Canis lupus familiaris: one gene and its partner. The protein of the gene in region 1 purifies or fractionates together with the protein of each later gene. This does not show direct contact. Links are inferred from orthologs where the notes say so. Each region holds a gene or a part of one and is shown on either strand. Other genes may lie near its edges.

The links. The genes of interacting proteins can lie anywhere in the genome.
Region 2: the proteins of DCAF1 (region 1) and COPS7B purify together in Homo sapiens (affinity purification with mass spectrometry; 3 studies listed by BioGRID, with this or other methods). This does not show direct contact. The link is inferred for Canis lupus familiaris from reciprocal best matches to the Homo sapiens genes DCAF1 and COPS7B.

The regions. Positions count from the first base shown.
Region 1 is NC_049241.1:38,562,097-38,569,330, forward strand, and holds part of DCAF1 (DDB1- and CUL4-associated factor 1), read left to right. Parts: intron 1-739; coding exon 740-864; intron 865-1,805; coding exon 1,806-3,069; intron 3,070-3,662; coding exon 3,663-3,861; intron 3,862-5,208; coding exon 5,209-5,291; intron 5,292-5,854; coding exon 5,855-5,939; intron 5,940-7,234. UniProt on the Homo sapiens protein: Acts both as a substrate recognition component of E3 ubiquitin-protein ligase complexes and as an atypical serine/threonine-protein kinase, playing key roles in various processes such as cell cycle, telomerase regulation and histone modification.
Region 2 is NC_049246.1:43,816,783-43,824,683, reverse strand, and holds the start of COPS7B (COP9 signalosome complex subunit 7b), read right to left. Parts: upstream 4,783-7,901; 5' UTR 4,386-4,782; intron 1-4,385. Other genes in the region: PDE6D (retinal rod rhodopsin-sensitive cGMP 3',5'-cyclic phosphodiesterase subunit delta), read left to right, coding at 5,160-5,209. UniProt on the Homo sapiens protein: Component of the COP9 signalosome complex (CSN), a complex involved in various cellular and developmental processes.

The DNA.
Region 1 (7,234 bases):
CCTGCATTTCATCTTTAGTAGATGTTGCATACCATTTTCATCTCTCACCAGCAGGATATGGGGGTTTTCATTTCTCTACCTTTTTTTCAATAACTGGTAATGTCAGACATAAAATATTATCTTATGTTCTCCATTTCATTAATGTTGTATTTTAGCCTTTCCCTTTGTCCTTTAGAGTTCTTTGAAAACAACTGTCTGCAGTGCAGAGTAGTTCATATGAATGTACCATAATTTGACACTCATGTATTCCTATTGTCTTTTAGATTTTCTAATTCTTTTGTTATTTTAAATGATGGGGTAATGGACATCTTAACACCTAAATGCTTGTTTGTACTTTTGATTATTTCCTTAGGACAGATTCCTCCAGGTGAAATTTCCTGGACCAAAGTTTATGCGCATTTTAAGAATCTTGTTTCCTATTTCTAGATTATTTTCTCAAAAGAGGGTCCTATTTCTACTTCCACCAAAAGTTTGAGAGAGCATTTGTCTTTATACATCCTTACCAGCATCGGGGATTATCCTTTGTTTTTAATCTTAGCAGCGTGAGTGGTGAAAATTCCATTCTCATTGTTTTGGAAGTAATGTCATGGTGACTTACAAATCCTCTCTTGATGTCATGTCTAGGGACAGAGCCACACAGGTAGTAGTTCTGATCCATTGTGTATCTCTCTCTTTTTTAACTCTTGTTTCTTTTGGCTGTATCCTAGTTTCTATTTGAGTAATTGTTTTTCCTGTCCAGGAATGACACTGTACGCTTTGCTTTGGATGTCCTGGCTATTCTCACTGTTGTGCCAAAAATCCAGCTCCAGTTGGCAGAATCAGTGGATGTGCTGGATGAGGCTGGCTCTACTGTCTCCACTGTAGGTAGGTTGTACCTTTCCATTTTTGTGATTGCTTGGTCTGGATTTGTTTTTGTTTGCTATTCTGGCCATGTTTGTTTACTTAATTTGCAACATTAGAACAGAAGGTAGTAGTGGAGGGTGCGTTGTCCCATCTATGTTGTGCCATACGCTTTTATTTAAGGGAAGTTAAGTTAGTGAACTCAGGTTTTCTGAGTAGTACATGTGCTATGATGGCACATGTTCATTCTTGAAAACCTTATACATTGTAGAGTCTTGTGCTAAAAATAAAGTTTGTGGGAAAAATGGGTTGGGACAGACAGTAAAAAACTTAAAACTACTTCATAATCTGAGCTCTAACAAAATCCGTAATTGGCAAGCAGCTCAGAATGGACAAAAGCAATCATACACAAGAACAAAAGGAAAATACAGTTTTTTGAAATATACTTTATTAAGAGAAGGGCTGGTAAAGGCTCTTGCTAAGGTGAGCATGCAGAGTGGTGTGACTGGTTGTGAGTCTTGGGTGTACCACTTTGGGGAGAAAGCCTGAGATGCAGCTATTTGTTTTTACCTTTCTTCATATGTAGCAAAAGGGGTTCCTGATGCCACTGTGACATCCAGGCTGAGGGCTCTTCCCTTTTTTGCTAAAGGTTTTAATTTATTCCTACTATTTTTCTTCCCCTTACCCAGGAAAAATTGCACATAACCCTTAGTGACTTTCACATAATACTGACATCATTCCCCTATTTAACAACTGCATATGATGTATTGCGTCATGAAGATATATTGTAGTAGAACTGATTGCATTTTATTCAAAAAAATTCTTGTACTTTAATACAACAGTGTGGTAGTTTTAAGTGGAACAACATGAATGGAAGTCTGAATTTTGACTCTGGAACAGTCATTGAAGTTGCTTGTTAGTTTTATGAGGAACAATATGAAATGTTTTGTATTTCTACTCCATAGGTATCAGCATTATTTTGGGAGTGGCTGAGGGTGAGTTCTTTATCCATGATGCTGAAATTCAGAAGTCAGCACTTCAGATTATTATCAATTGTGTGTGTGGCCCGGATAACCGAATTTCCAGTATTGGCAAATTCATCTCTGGAACTCCTCGGAGAAAGCTGCCTCAGACTCCCAAAAGCAGCGAGCACACCCTGGCCAAGATGTGGAATGTGGTCCAGTCCAACAATGGCATCAAGGTGCTCCTGTCCTTACTGTCCATCAAGATGCCCATCACTGATGCAGACCAGATAAGGGCTCTGGCCTGCAAGGCCCTAGTGGGCCTATCACGCAGTAGCACCGTGCGGCAGATCATCAGCAAACTGCCTCTTTTCAGCAGCTGCCAGATTCAGCAGCTGATGAAGGAGCCTGTTCTGCAGGACAAGCGCAGTGACCATGTCAAGTTCTGCAAGTATGCTGCTGAGCTCATTGAACGAGTATCAGGAAAGCCACTTCTCATTGGCACTGATGTGTCTCTGGCACGACTGCAGAAAGCAGATGTTGTTGCCCAATCGAGGATTTCCTTCCCTGAGAAAGAGCTGCTTCTGTTGATACGAAACCATCTCATTTCTAAAGGGCTTGGGGAGACAGCAACTGTGCTGACAAAAGAGGCTGACTTGCCCATGACTGCTGCCTCTCATTCTTCTGCCTTCACCCCAGTCACTGCTGCTGCTTCTCCTGTCTCTCTTCCCCGAACCCCTCGCATGGCCAATGGCATTGCAACTCGACTGGGCAGCCATGCTCCTGTGGGTGCCTCTGCCCCTCCTGCTCCCACTGCCCATCCTCAGCCACGGCCCCCCCAGAGTTCACTAGCTTTGCCTGGACCATCTTATGCAGGCAGTTCCCCCTTGATTGGTAGGATCAGTTTTATCAGAGAGAGGCCATCACCCTGCAATGGCAGGAAAATCAGAGTGTTGCGGCAGAAGTCGGACCATGGCGCCTACAGCCAAAGCCCAGCCATAAAAAAGCAATTGGACAGACATCTTCCGTCCCCACCTACGCTGGACAGTATCATCACAGAATATCTTAGAGAGCAACATGCTCGATGCAAGAACCCGGTTGCCACCTGCCCACCTTTCTCTCTCTTTACTCCTCATCAATGCCCTGAGCCAAAACAGAGGCGGCAAGCGCCAATAAACTTTACCTCAAGGCTAAACCGCAGGGCATCATTTCCAAAGTATGGAGGGGTGGATGGAGGGTGCTTTGATAGGCACCTTATCTTTAGCAGGTAAGGAGAGGCCACCTCCCTGGGAATTGGAATGATTCTTCTATTTAAAACAAAGTGTATGGGTGATACTAGTATAGAATGATGAATCCAGAATGCCAGACTGTTTGTTGGCCTGAAATTCCAGTGATTATCTCCTTGTGTGAATACATGAGTAATGTAACTATACCCCCTTTTGTCAACCGTGGGTTCTTTGTGTGATTGTTGTATATTGTTAGGATACTCTGTGTTCTTGTTATAACTATTCTGTTTTCTAGAACCCATGCACCATGGTGTGCCTAACTAGACTCCCAAACTATTTTTTTTTTATTGGTGCAAGTTGTTTCCTACTCTGATCCTTCACAAATTTCATATAAGATGATGGAATCGCAAGGTTTAAACATGGGGATTTTTGTTAAAATTTGTAAGTAGAAGTCCTTTTCTCTCACTTAAAATGCAAATGAACCACTGAACGTCACTGTGATGTTTTGGAAGAATTTTAAACATATGTGTTTTGTTTCTTCTTTCAGACTTCTAGCAAAGTTTTCTTTTTTGGAGTCCTTGTGCATTCTTTGTTTCTGATTCTTCTTTTTCCTTTCTTTCTTTTTTTTGCTTAGGTTCCGTCCAATTTCAGTGTTCAGGGAAGCCAATGAAGATGAGAGTGGCTTCACTTGTTGTGCATTTTCAGCACGGGAGCGGTTCCTGATGCTTGGCACCTGCACTGGGCAATTGAAGCTCTATAATGTGTTTAGTGGACAGGAGGAGGCCAGCTATAACTGTCACAACTCGGCTATCACACATCTTGAACCTTCCAGAGTAAGGATCCCTTCTTAGGTTGTTCTAGGTCATTCTTCTAAGGTGGGTTGGTGAGCTGTGGGCTTGTAGGCTGGCTCTTTATTTGTATATAAACTTTTATTGGAACATAGCCATGCTTATCCATTTATATACGGTCTGTAGCTGCAACTGTGCTACAATGGCAGAGTTGAGTAGTTGTGACACAGACATATGGCTCACAAAGCCCTTCAAGTGAAAGTTTACCAATCCTCTTCTAAGAGGGGGAGCTGTGTGTGAATGTGAAAAAAATTTTTTTTTAATTTGCCTCAGATGGAAACAGTCTATTAGCTATGATCACAGAAGTTTTCTTTTTGTATTAGGAAGAAATCTCAAAGTACTGTTTTTAGGAAAACATTATAGGATCCTAGTGGGTCCTGGTTTATTAGTATTATTCTGTGGATGGAATTGATACTTTGGTTATTTCTTTTTTTTTTTTTTTTTTTTACAATTTTTTATTTATTCATGAGAGACACACAGAGAGAGAGAGAGAGAGAGAGAGAGGCAGAGACACAGGCAGAGGGAGAAGCAGGCTCCTTGCAGGGAGCTTAATGTGGGACTCGATCCCAGGTCTCCAGGATCACGCCTTGGTCTGAAGGCGATGCTAAACTGCTGAGCCACCGGGCTGCCCTGTTATTTCTATAAGTCATTAAGAAGTCTATAATTCATTAAGATGACAAGGGTAATTTCCTTGATTTTAGAGTAAAGGAGACTCAGCTCTTATTGGGCTTTTTTTTTTTTTTTTAAGATTTTATTTATTTATTCATGAGAGACAGAGTGAGAGAGAGAGTGGGGAAGGGGAGGCAGAGACACCGGCAGAGGGAGAAGTAGGCTCCATGCAAGGCGCCTGACGTGGGACTCGATCCTGGCAGGATCACACCCTGGGCTGAAGTCGGCGCTAAACCGCTAAGCCACCCAGGCTGCCTGGGCTTTTTTCTTTTGAAAGAATTTTAAGAGTTTTTAGCTAAGAAAGTCTAACAAATTGGTATTTCAGATGAGGGAGACTGAGGTATAATATAGCCAAATATTTAAGAAAGGAGGAACCATCTTTGACATCCAAGTTTTTTCTTCCCCTACCCTTGTAACTATTATATTTTTTTGTTACTAGGTCAGGAGGATTTAGTATTTCCTAAATTTAAGTATTTTTTTAGGACATTGCATGTGCACATATTGAAATTCTAGCAGCTTCAACCATTTCTTGGTTCTTTGTGGAGTTTTTCTGTTTTCTATATAATACAGTAGTATTTTTTTAAGCTTGCATTTTAAAATGCTAAGGGCAGGTAGCATTTATATAAACGTGATTACCCACTGTGGGCCTCCTTCTTCTTTTAGGATGGGTCCTTGCTGTTGACATCTGCTACTTGGAGCCAGCCTCTGTCTGCACTTTGGGGAATGAAATCAGTATTTGATATGAAGTATGTATCTACTTTTATAACCCTAGTCTTTCTGTTCTATAAATCACCTAATTTGTATTCCCCTTCATCCAGTTCTTCAACTTGAAGCCTTTTGGGAAAAGATGAATGCTGTGAGTTATTGTTAGTTTCTCTTTCTCATCTGTGGCTCATATTTAATAAGATTGTATCCTTTTTAATTCCAGGATATTCTTACCAAGTATTCTTACCACTCCCATCACACAGCTGACCCTTCACTAATCCAAAATGGCACATCTGTGTATTTTCTCATGTTCACATATGACAGTTGCACTCTTTATCTTTCAAAGACATGTGTGGCCATTTTTTTTTTTTAAACCAAGTAACTCCTGTTAATTACCTGTAATTAATTCTTTTGGGTCTTCTTGGTCAAACATGGAGGAAAAATTTTTTTTTTTTTTAATATTAAACATACAATTTTTCCTCTTTCGTTGCTGGGAATCCTGAGATGAGTATGGTCAGGCAGGAGGCTGAGAATCATGTTTATTTTCAGTGTTGAGTGGATATGTTCTGAAGGTCCATTGCTTATGTACTTCTGTTGTTTGTAGGCATTCCTTCACAGAAGATCACTATGTTGAGTTCAGTAAGCACTCTCAGGATCGGGTCATAGGTACAAAAGGAGACATTGCTCACGTAAGTACTTAATCCCCTGCTTTCAAGCTAATTATGCCCATTTGTTTGTGCTCAAAGCTCCTGGACTGAAGGACAGTCCTAAGGGCAACAATAAATTACTTAGTGATATTCTTTGTAGATAGAATCTAGAAGTGTAATTAAGTAGTTCTAAGCTATATGGGACCAAACATGAACTAATCTGGCAATTCGAGAAAGATGTCATTAGCATAGCAGTTATTTTCAAATACTTACTAAGTTTTAGATGAATTTTAAGTCTCTGCCTTTATGAAGCCTTACTGGGGAGACAGTATATAAGCAAATATATAGTATGTCTGTTGGTAAGTGCTGCCAAGAAAAAGAAGCAGGGTAAGAGGAAGTGGTGGTGATGGTGTGGGGGACTTGTATTTTATCTAGGATAGTCAGTATCACTGACTGGGTAATGTTTAAGGAATATTTTGAAGGAATTGTGGATGTCATGTAGATATTTGGGGGAAAAGTATTTTAAGATAGAGGGAATGTCAAGGGAAAAGTCCTTACTTGGGAGGTGGGAGAGAGAGGAGGGGGAACAGCTCAGGTCAGTGTCAGGGGGAGAGGGTGACATGTCATAGTAGCATCTGACAGGCTGTTGTTAGGACCTTTGACTTTTCCTGTGAATGAGATGCAGACACTATAGGGTGAGCAGAGGACACATGACTGGCTGTAAAGTTCCTAAAATGTGAGTCTAGAGCAAGAGCAGGCTTTCCAGTTAGGAGGGTGTCATGACAACTTGCATGTGAGGCCTGCAATGGGCTGGGCCCAGTTGAGCATGGCACAGGTGATGAGAAGTGATACAGCTAGGCCCTGGGATTCTGGATGCATGCAGTTCTTCTATTAGACATTCAAGTAAGAAATGGCAGTTGAATATACAAAATGGGAATTCAAGAGAGAGGTCTGGGATAGCAGATACTAATACAGGAATTACCTACATGTTGATAGTCTTTAGAGCCATGAACCTGGATGAGATCATTAAGGAGGCTAGAGAAGAGAACTGTGGGGACAGTCCTAGGATGTGCCAATATTTCAGATTTGCCATGTGACCAGGACTTGGGAGGGAGACCAAAGAGAATGGCCAGTAAGACAGCAGGAGACCTTATGAAAAAAATATACCACAGACGGCAAGGGAAGATTCTTTTGAGGAAGACTCGATCAGCTGAGTCAAAAACTATTCATGAGTTTTTAAGATGAGAGTTTGAGAGGTGCTTTTGATTGAACAATTGGAGCTTTTTATTAACCACGTGAGGAGCTACTTCTGTGCATCAGGGCCAGTCTGATTAGAG
Region 2 (7,901 bases), on another chromosome or scaffold:
ATAACGACCGCTTATTGAGCGTTTTCCCATGTGCCAGGTGTGTACATTGTCTCGTTGAATAAACTCTAAGCTTAAAAATCCAAAAACCAGTAAGTGGCAAAGTCGGCTTGGGACCCCGGGCTCTGGGAAGCTAAAGACCATATTCATGATCTCTGTTCAGAAAAACGTTTTAAAATAAGATGGAAAAAATAAAAATAATTAAAATAATAAAATAATAAATAAAATAAAATAAAATAAAATAAAATAAAATAAAATAAAATAAAATAAGCAAGATGAGCAGCCCGGGTGGCTCAGCAGTTTAGGGCCTGATCCTGGAGACCCGGGATCCAGTCTCATGTCAGGCTCCCTGCATGGAACCTGCTTCTCCCTCTGCCTGTGTCTCTGCCTGTGTGTGTGTGTGTGTGTGTGTGTGTGTGTGTGTGTGTGTCATGAATAAATAAATAAATAAAATCTTTTAAAAAAATAAAAAATAAAATAAGCAAGAGATGGGCTGAGCCAACAATGGCTCTGTGAGCAAAATGACATATGTGAGGTTGCATCTAGTACTTAGCAACTTTCCTGGAAGATGGCTAAGAAATGCTACACAGCTGAACACTTAAGCTGGTTCCTTTAAAGTATACATCACAGACTTTCCGGTCTTAAAGACAAGGAAAATAGCCCTATTTGCCTTTGGTGAATTAGAGTGCAGAAATCAGACAGATGCAAAGGAGCCTAGCACCAACCCACTGATTTATGCAAAAATGTCTTGTTCTAATTTCTATGTTCTGGTAGATTATATAAAGAGAAGACAAGGTTCTTGCCCTCAAAAAGCTTCAGTGTGGGGGCGCCTGGCTGGGTCAGTTGGTAGAGCATGCAACTCTCAATCACCAGTCCTGAGTTCAAACCCCATGTTGCGCAAGAAGCTTACTTTAAAAAAAAGAAGAAGAAGAAGAAGAAGAAGAAGAAGAAGAAGAAGAAGAAGAAGAAGAAGAAGAAGAAGAAGAAGAAGAAGAAGAGAAAAGCTTCAATATGTTAAGTGCTATGAGAAAGATATGACAATACTTTAGAAGCATAGAAGAGAGTATGTTGGGGAAAAGAAAACAGGCATCTTCCAGGCAAAAAGGGAAGAAAAGGTGGCTGACCATAGTCACAGAGGCTTGCCCTGTGTAGCATATACTAATGCAGAAAAGAAACCCAGAGTGTCTGGAATACAAGGCTCAGGTTTGAGAAATGAGGGCTACAGACCTGGAGTCAGGTCATCAAGGGTGCTATAAACCACACGCACGGCACTATACGCAGTAAATATCTTAATACTGCAGAGTCCCTACCTGGGATTAGCCCACAGCCCTGGAGAGAGACAAACCTGTCTGGCTATAACAGCCAGTTGCCATAGGCACCCTAGAACTACAGATTAAGGCTCTTCTCCTGCCTGTGCTCTGGAGAAAGGTGATTTAAAGCAGGGTTCTGGAGACGAGGCTTGAGTTGAACATGGAAGAATGAGCAAGCAAATCACAAAAAGTATAAGCCATGTAAAGGAGTTATTATTTTATCTTGAGGGTGCTGGGGGGTGGCAGAACTTAGGGCTTTTAACCTGTGGAGAAGTGTGAATAATTGCCACTTTAGAATGCTCACACTAGCTGCTATAAGAATGGATTGGATATGGAGAGAGCTGGAAGCAGGGAAACTCTTGAGGTGATTGATATAGTACAGAAAAGAGATTGTGAGATCCTGAACAAAGACAGTGGCAGTTGGGCATGAAACAGAAGGGACGTGGTGGGAGGCATTTAGACTATGGAATGTGTCCGATGTGCTGACCAGCTGAATGCAGGGATAGGGAAGAAGGGTATCACCCAAGACTCTGGCTATTCACTCAGAGGTGATGTTTCTAAGTAAATGGGGCTGCAGAGGAAAAAAAGCAAATTTGCGGTAATAGGAAGATAATTAAGTTCTGTTTGAGTTCATAAATATTCTAGCAGTACTTCCACTTCTTCCAGAATAATGTCCAGACTCCAGGGCTGCAGAGAAATCCCTTCTCAGTATGCTTCCCTCCAACCTTTCCAGCTTTGGCTCGTCCCACCCTCTTACAGCCAAAACCCTAGGCCTTCCTATGCCCAACACAACCTCCACCTTCCCTCTCTGACACCAGGGCCTATGCTCAAGCTTGCTCTCCATCCTTTTTTGCAATGCTCTTCCCTCCTATTTTTGCCTGTTAAAATCCTACCAACCCTGTAGGCAGAGATTTCTTAAACTCAATGCACAAAAGCACTAATCATAAAAGAAAACACTGAGCTACTACACTACATTATAATTTAGAATTTCTGATTATCAAATGACACCAATGCGAGACTGAAGAGGCAAGCCACAGAGCTGGAAAAGATATTCCTGAAGCCTGTATCAAAGAACTCCATATCCAAACTTCATAAAGAACTACAAATCAGTATGAATAAGTAGACAAAAAGCCCAATTTAAAAAGTAGGGAAAAGACTTGAACAAGCACTTTACAAAAGAAAACACTGAAATAATTAAAAATCATATGAAAAGTGCTCAACATCAGAGACAATGCAAGAAAAGACTGTAATAAGATACCACATTTATAGCCAAAAGAGCTAAAGTTAGAAAGACCTCTAAGACCCTGGTTGGTTTTTTTTTTAAGATTTTATTTATTTATTCATGAGAGACAGAGAGAAAGAGAGGCAGAGACAGGCAGAGGGAGAAGCAGGCTTCATGCAGGAAGCCTGACTGGGACTCAATCCTAGGTCTCCAGGATCATGCCCTGGGCTGAAGGCGGTGCTAAACCACTGAGCCACCCGGGCTGCCCAAAGAACCTGTTTTGACAAGGATAAGAGTCAACTAGAATTTTCTTACGTTGCAGGTGAAAGGGAAAATGATACAAACACTTTGGAAAACTGACATACTGTTGCTGATCATATGCATACTGTACAAGCCAGCCATTCCTCTCCTAGAAATAAGTGCAGTCTACAAAAAGAAACCTATAAGAATGCGCATTGCAGCTTTAACAAAAGCCAAAAACTGTTAACTGATAACATAAATACCCATCAATAGAACAGATAAATATTGCTAGATACACACAATAGAATACTAGTCAGTAATTAAAAAAAAAAAAAGCTGCTACATACAACATGGATGAATCTCACAAAAAAAAAAAAAAAAAAAACACACAACTGATGAAGAAAAAAAGCCAGGCTCCTACTGTACATACTGTATGATTACATTTAAATGAAATTCACAACAAAACTGATTTATGGTAATAGAAGTCAGAATAGTTATCGGGATGGGAGGATGCAGTGCTGATTGGGAAGGGGCACAGGGGTGCCAGAAATGTTCTATATTTTGATTTGGGGGGTGGTGACACAGATGTATACAAATGTCAAAACTGTGCCCTTCCTGCATGTCATACCTCATGAACAAAAAAATTTTAAGATAAAGTTTTTTTAACAGGAAAAAAAAAAATCCACCCATCGTTCAAATTCAAATGCCACCTCCTCCATCAAGTTTTGCCAGCTGGATCTGATCTTTCCATCAGAACCTCTGTAGCATTCTGATGACCTTTCCTTTATGACATTTATTGCAGTTCATCTTGAATCTCAGCAGAGTCTCCTTTTTTTCCTAACTAGATGGTTATCTTCCTGGAGGCAGTGACAATGCCTTTTCACCCTTTACCGGAAACCTGAAAAGGCTCTTTGTTGAATTACATGGAAGGAAAAATTGGGTGGGTGCCCAGATGGGTGAAAGGGGGACGGGAAGAGGAAGGAAGGCCTCGGAAAAGAGATAGGAGATGTCCAAGGAAACCTTAGCTTACGCTACAATTTTACCTAGTTCCTGAAATCACATTAAATGTCACCTTGAGCAACAAATAACAAATCAAAACACTAAGTCCTTCCTAGACTGAAGATAAACAAACATCACACTCCTTCACTTACAGGAAATCCACCAAAATGAATGCTTACCTAACCTCTGGGTGTTTCAACCTGGATGAGGATACTTCACTAAGGAAAATAATAATCACACAGCCATGCTGCTAAAAATATCGCCACCTCAGTGTGGTGTAAACAGCCCAAACTGAGGGTCAGGAGACTTAGAGCCGAATTCTAACTCTGTCCCAAGTTGCTGTAACCAGTGGACGATCGCTTCGCCTCTCTGGGGCCTCAGTTTCCTCGTATGTAAAACAACAGAGGGTGGTTTGGCAAATTCTCTTAATATCCCTTCCGGTAGGGAGAGTCTGAGTATACGATCCATATCTCTCCCAGCCCAACGCAGGAGCACACCAGAAACCCCTGCAAAACAAGTAAAAGGCGCCCCAGACCAACAAACAAGCACGATTTAAAGGAGTCATTTTATCTTCCGTGGTTTAATCAAGTGTTTTTGTTTGTTGTTTGCAGCCTTACCATGATTTGCAGGAGATTTCTGAGTTCCATGTAAACAGATGTTACCTCCCTGTGGGCTGTCATCCTCTTCTGAGAGTTAAGGGGGTCTTCCCGCCCAGTTTCAAGTCTCCGAATTCAGAAACCCCCAAGGCTGAGGGAAGGTTTACGAATTTGCGCACACTGCGCGGCACACTGGAGTCTAAGTTACAGAGGAACAGGGTGCAGGGAATGCTGGGATTTGTAGTCCCCGGGCCTCTTTGTTGCGTGATGGGATCTGTGGTTCCCCCGGGCACTCCCCCGGAATGCTGGGAAATGTAGTCTCTCTCACATCGCACAGGGCAACCCGCCGTCATTTCAGCGCCCTAGTGTGCCCCGCGGAGGGAGCGGGCCCCTCGAGCCTCTGCAGATCTGAAGCCAACCCTCCGCTGGGGCAAACTCTAGGCAACAAGACCTAAAGAAAAATTTGTCCTACGGGACTTCCCGGGGAGGGCCCTTCCCACTGACGCTCGTCGTCCCCCGGCGAAGCCGCTGAATGTTTCTATTGGCTGCTCGGGATGCCAATCGGCGAGGAGGGCTTTCCATTGGCTTTGGGGCGGGCGCTCCGAGGCTAGGGGGAAGGAGAAGGGATCAGGAGCGGGAGCTGAGGGGAGGGAGAGGCCGGTCCGGGTCTGGCCGCTGCCGCTGCTCGCTGGAGGTCTCCAGGCCGCGCTGCGGCTCCGTCCTCGGTTCCTGGGCACCGTCTGCGAGGCTCCGCCGGGCCAGCGTGGGAGAGCCGCGGGCGGCGGCCGCCGCATCATGTCAGCCAAGGACGAGAGGGCCAGGGAGATCCTGAAGGGCTTCAAACTGTATCCGCCCGGGAGTGGGGCGGGGCGGGGCCGGGAGGACTTGGGGGGCGGCCGCTGGCGGAGGAGACGGGCCGGGGGCGGGGGCCGCGCCTGCTGGGCTCGGGACGGGAGCGCGGCGGGAGGGGACGGAGGGGACCGAGGGAACGGCGTCCCGGTCCCCCCGGCGGGACCGGGTACTGGAGGCGGGGCAGGGGGCGTCCTGAGGGAGGAAGGAGACGTTGCCGGGAGCCGGGGGCTGGAGTGGAGGAGCCCCTGTCCGAATTGGGCTGGGAGACGCGGCGGGCGTCGGAAACGCGTGGCGGTGAGGCCGGCTTGGGTCCGAGCCTCGGCCCGCGCCCGGAGGCCAGAAGGGGGGCTGCGGCCCGCAGGGAGGGCCGAGGGGCGCGGGGGGCTGGCCTCGCAGCCCTGCAGCCCGTTTGGCGGGAAGGCCCCGGGGGAGCAGGGAAAAGTGACTCGGAGCGAGTGACCTTGGGTGGGACAAATGCAAATGCTTGTGCTGAACTCTCCCGGGTTCCCCCGTCCCCCCCTCTACGCCACCCCCTCCTTGTTTCCACAACTTCTCTGCCTCACTTGTGGCTCCTTCCAGGGCTGGAGCAGAGAGGAAGGTGGGCCAAGAGAAGCCCGGGATCCACCTCATCTTAACACTCTCTTGGCCTTGTGAGGCACTGGATGGTGGCAGCTTCTCTCTCAGCCTTTCACTTTTCTGTCCAGCGAAGTGAGGACCCTGCACTCGAGCGTGAGATGCCTTGAGGTGTTTTGGTTTTGCACCGGGACTCCTGGCAAAGGTATCTGCGCGCTTGCGTTTGTGAGGTTCACGCGGAGACCAGGTGGAGCTGTCCAGCAATTATTTGATTACTTTGGGGACACGGTAGGATTTAGCAGGATCTAGAAATCATTGCCCCAGGCCTGGCCTGTTGTGGTGCCGCTTGTGCAACCTTCTTTCTCTCTTTAACGTATTAGGAAGCCTCGTGTTTAAATGGAGTGTCTGTCTGTGACCATAGGATGCGGATGAAAAATAGGCAAACCTGGACATTCCAATTTCACATTTTCCTGCTGAGCTTAAATCTCTTTTTACATCCCGTGCGTACAAAATGGAACGTTCTCAAATTCTTCTCTCCGTGAAGTTGTAGTCATCACTTTAGGTCTCCCCCCACCCCCCCAAAGGAGATTTAGTGAAGCACTGTTCTCTGAGCTGCCTTTGTGTTTTCACGATGCCCATTTCACCGCTGGAAATTTTAATTGCTTTTCACAGTCAGAAAGCAAGTTGGTAGTAAATTTTAGAACCCAAAATGCAACAACAACAACAACAACAAAAAAGTTACAGGACATTTTAGATATACAAATGAAAAGTTTCAAATGGAAGCTGATCTGCTATGCTTCTTTTGAAAAAAAACGGAAGGCATTATACACTAGGCATAAGGTCATTCGTGGTAAAGTTTAGTAAAAGCCTCTTTTTATAGCTTCGTGTACCTTTCGGTGTCTTTTTTCATAATGGCACCTATAAGTAAATAGGGATGGCTGAAGTCTTAGAAAAGCTGTGACATGGATTTTATTTTTCCCCTAAGTAATTTGTATTGTTAGTTACATGTATACTGTAGATAGTAAAATCAGAGACTGGGGAATTGAGAGATTTCAGAAGCAACGTTTTTGGTCCAATTGGAATTAACATACTGCTGAAAACAAGAAAGAATCTTTTTAATGGTTTTCAAACAAAGAAACTTCTTACCTCAGTCTGGGCTCTTGAAGCTGTTGAGAAAGAGGTTAAGGGACACATGTGGAAAAGAGTAGAAATCATCATCAGGTGAATTAACCAGTTCAATGATGACGTTAGTGTATTAAGAAACAGGCTTTCAGAGAAGGTTTGACCTGAGCTGATTAAATCTCAAGGGAAGCAGCCGCATAAAAAAGTTAGCATGGGAGCAAGAGGATGCTCATCCTCTGGTAGCCTTTATTGACATCTGAGGATTAAGAGAGAAAGGAAAGGAGTTCTAGAATTTGCTACTACCTTCAGGAAAACACAATCTTTTAGTAAAACAAACTGCTTATTGTCCACCTTTTTTATTGGGTGAATTGTTTTTCTGAACTTTCATTGAATCTGTTTCTGTAAGAGTTTTTTTCTACCAAAAGAAAGCACCATTAGAGTCTCCTACCAGCGATGTTGACAGTGCTCAGTTCCACATTGACTCTGTCTTTTATATTTTTGCCAATTTAGACAAGTGATACCTTATTTTAATTTGTATTTCCCTGGATATCTAGATCCCTGGACAGGTAATAGAGCATAGTGGTTAAGAAGAATTCTGGACTGTAGAGCTGTTCTGTGTTGGAATCCCAGCCCTACACTCTTGGTTGTCCCTGAGCAACTCATTTAACCTCAGCCTCAATTTCCTCATCTGTAAATGGGGTTAAAAATAGTACTTATCTCATAGGGTTGTTACGAAGATTGAATGAGTTGATAGCTGAAGCATTTAGAAAAGCACCTGATGCCTAGTAAACATTATATATTAGCTCTTATTATTGTTAGAGAAGTTGCAAAATCTTCTGTTTGGCAGTTCCTTTTCTGTGAATCACTTGTTGATTTTGTTTTTTGCCCATTTTACTATTGAATTTTTTACTTACTGGTTTGTGTGTGTGCCTTAATATCATTTGCCTGTTCTGTATGTTGCAAATATTTTCCATCAATATATTGTTCATC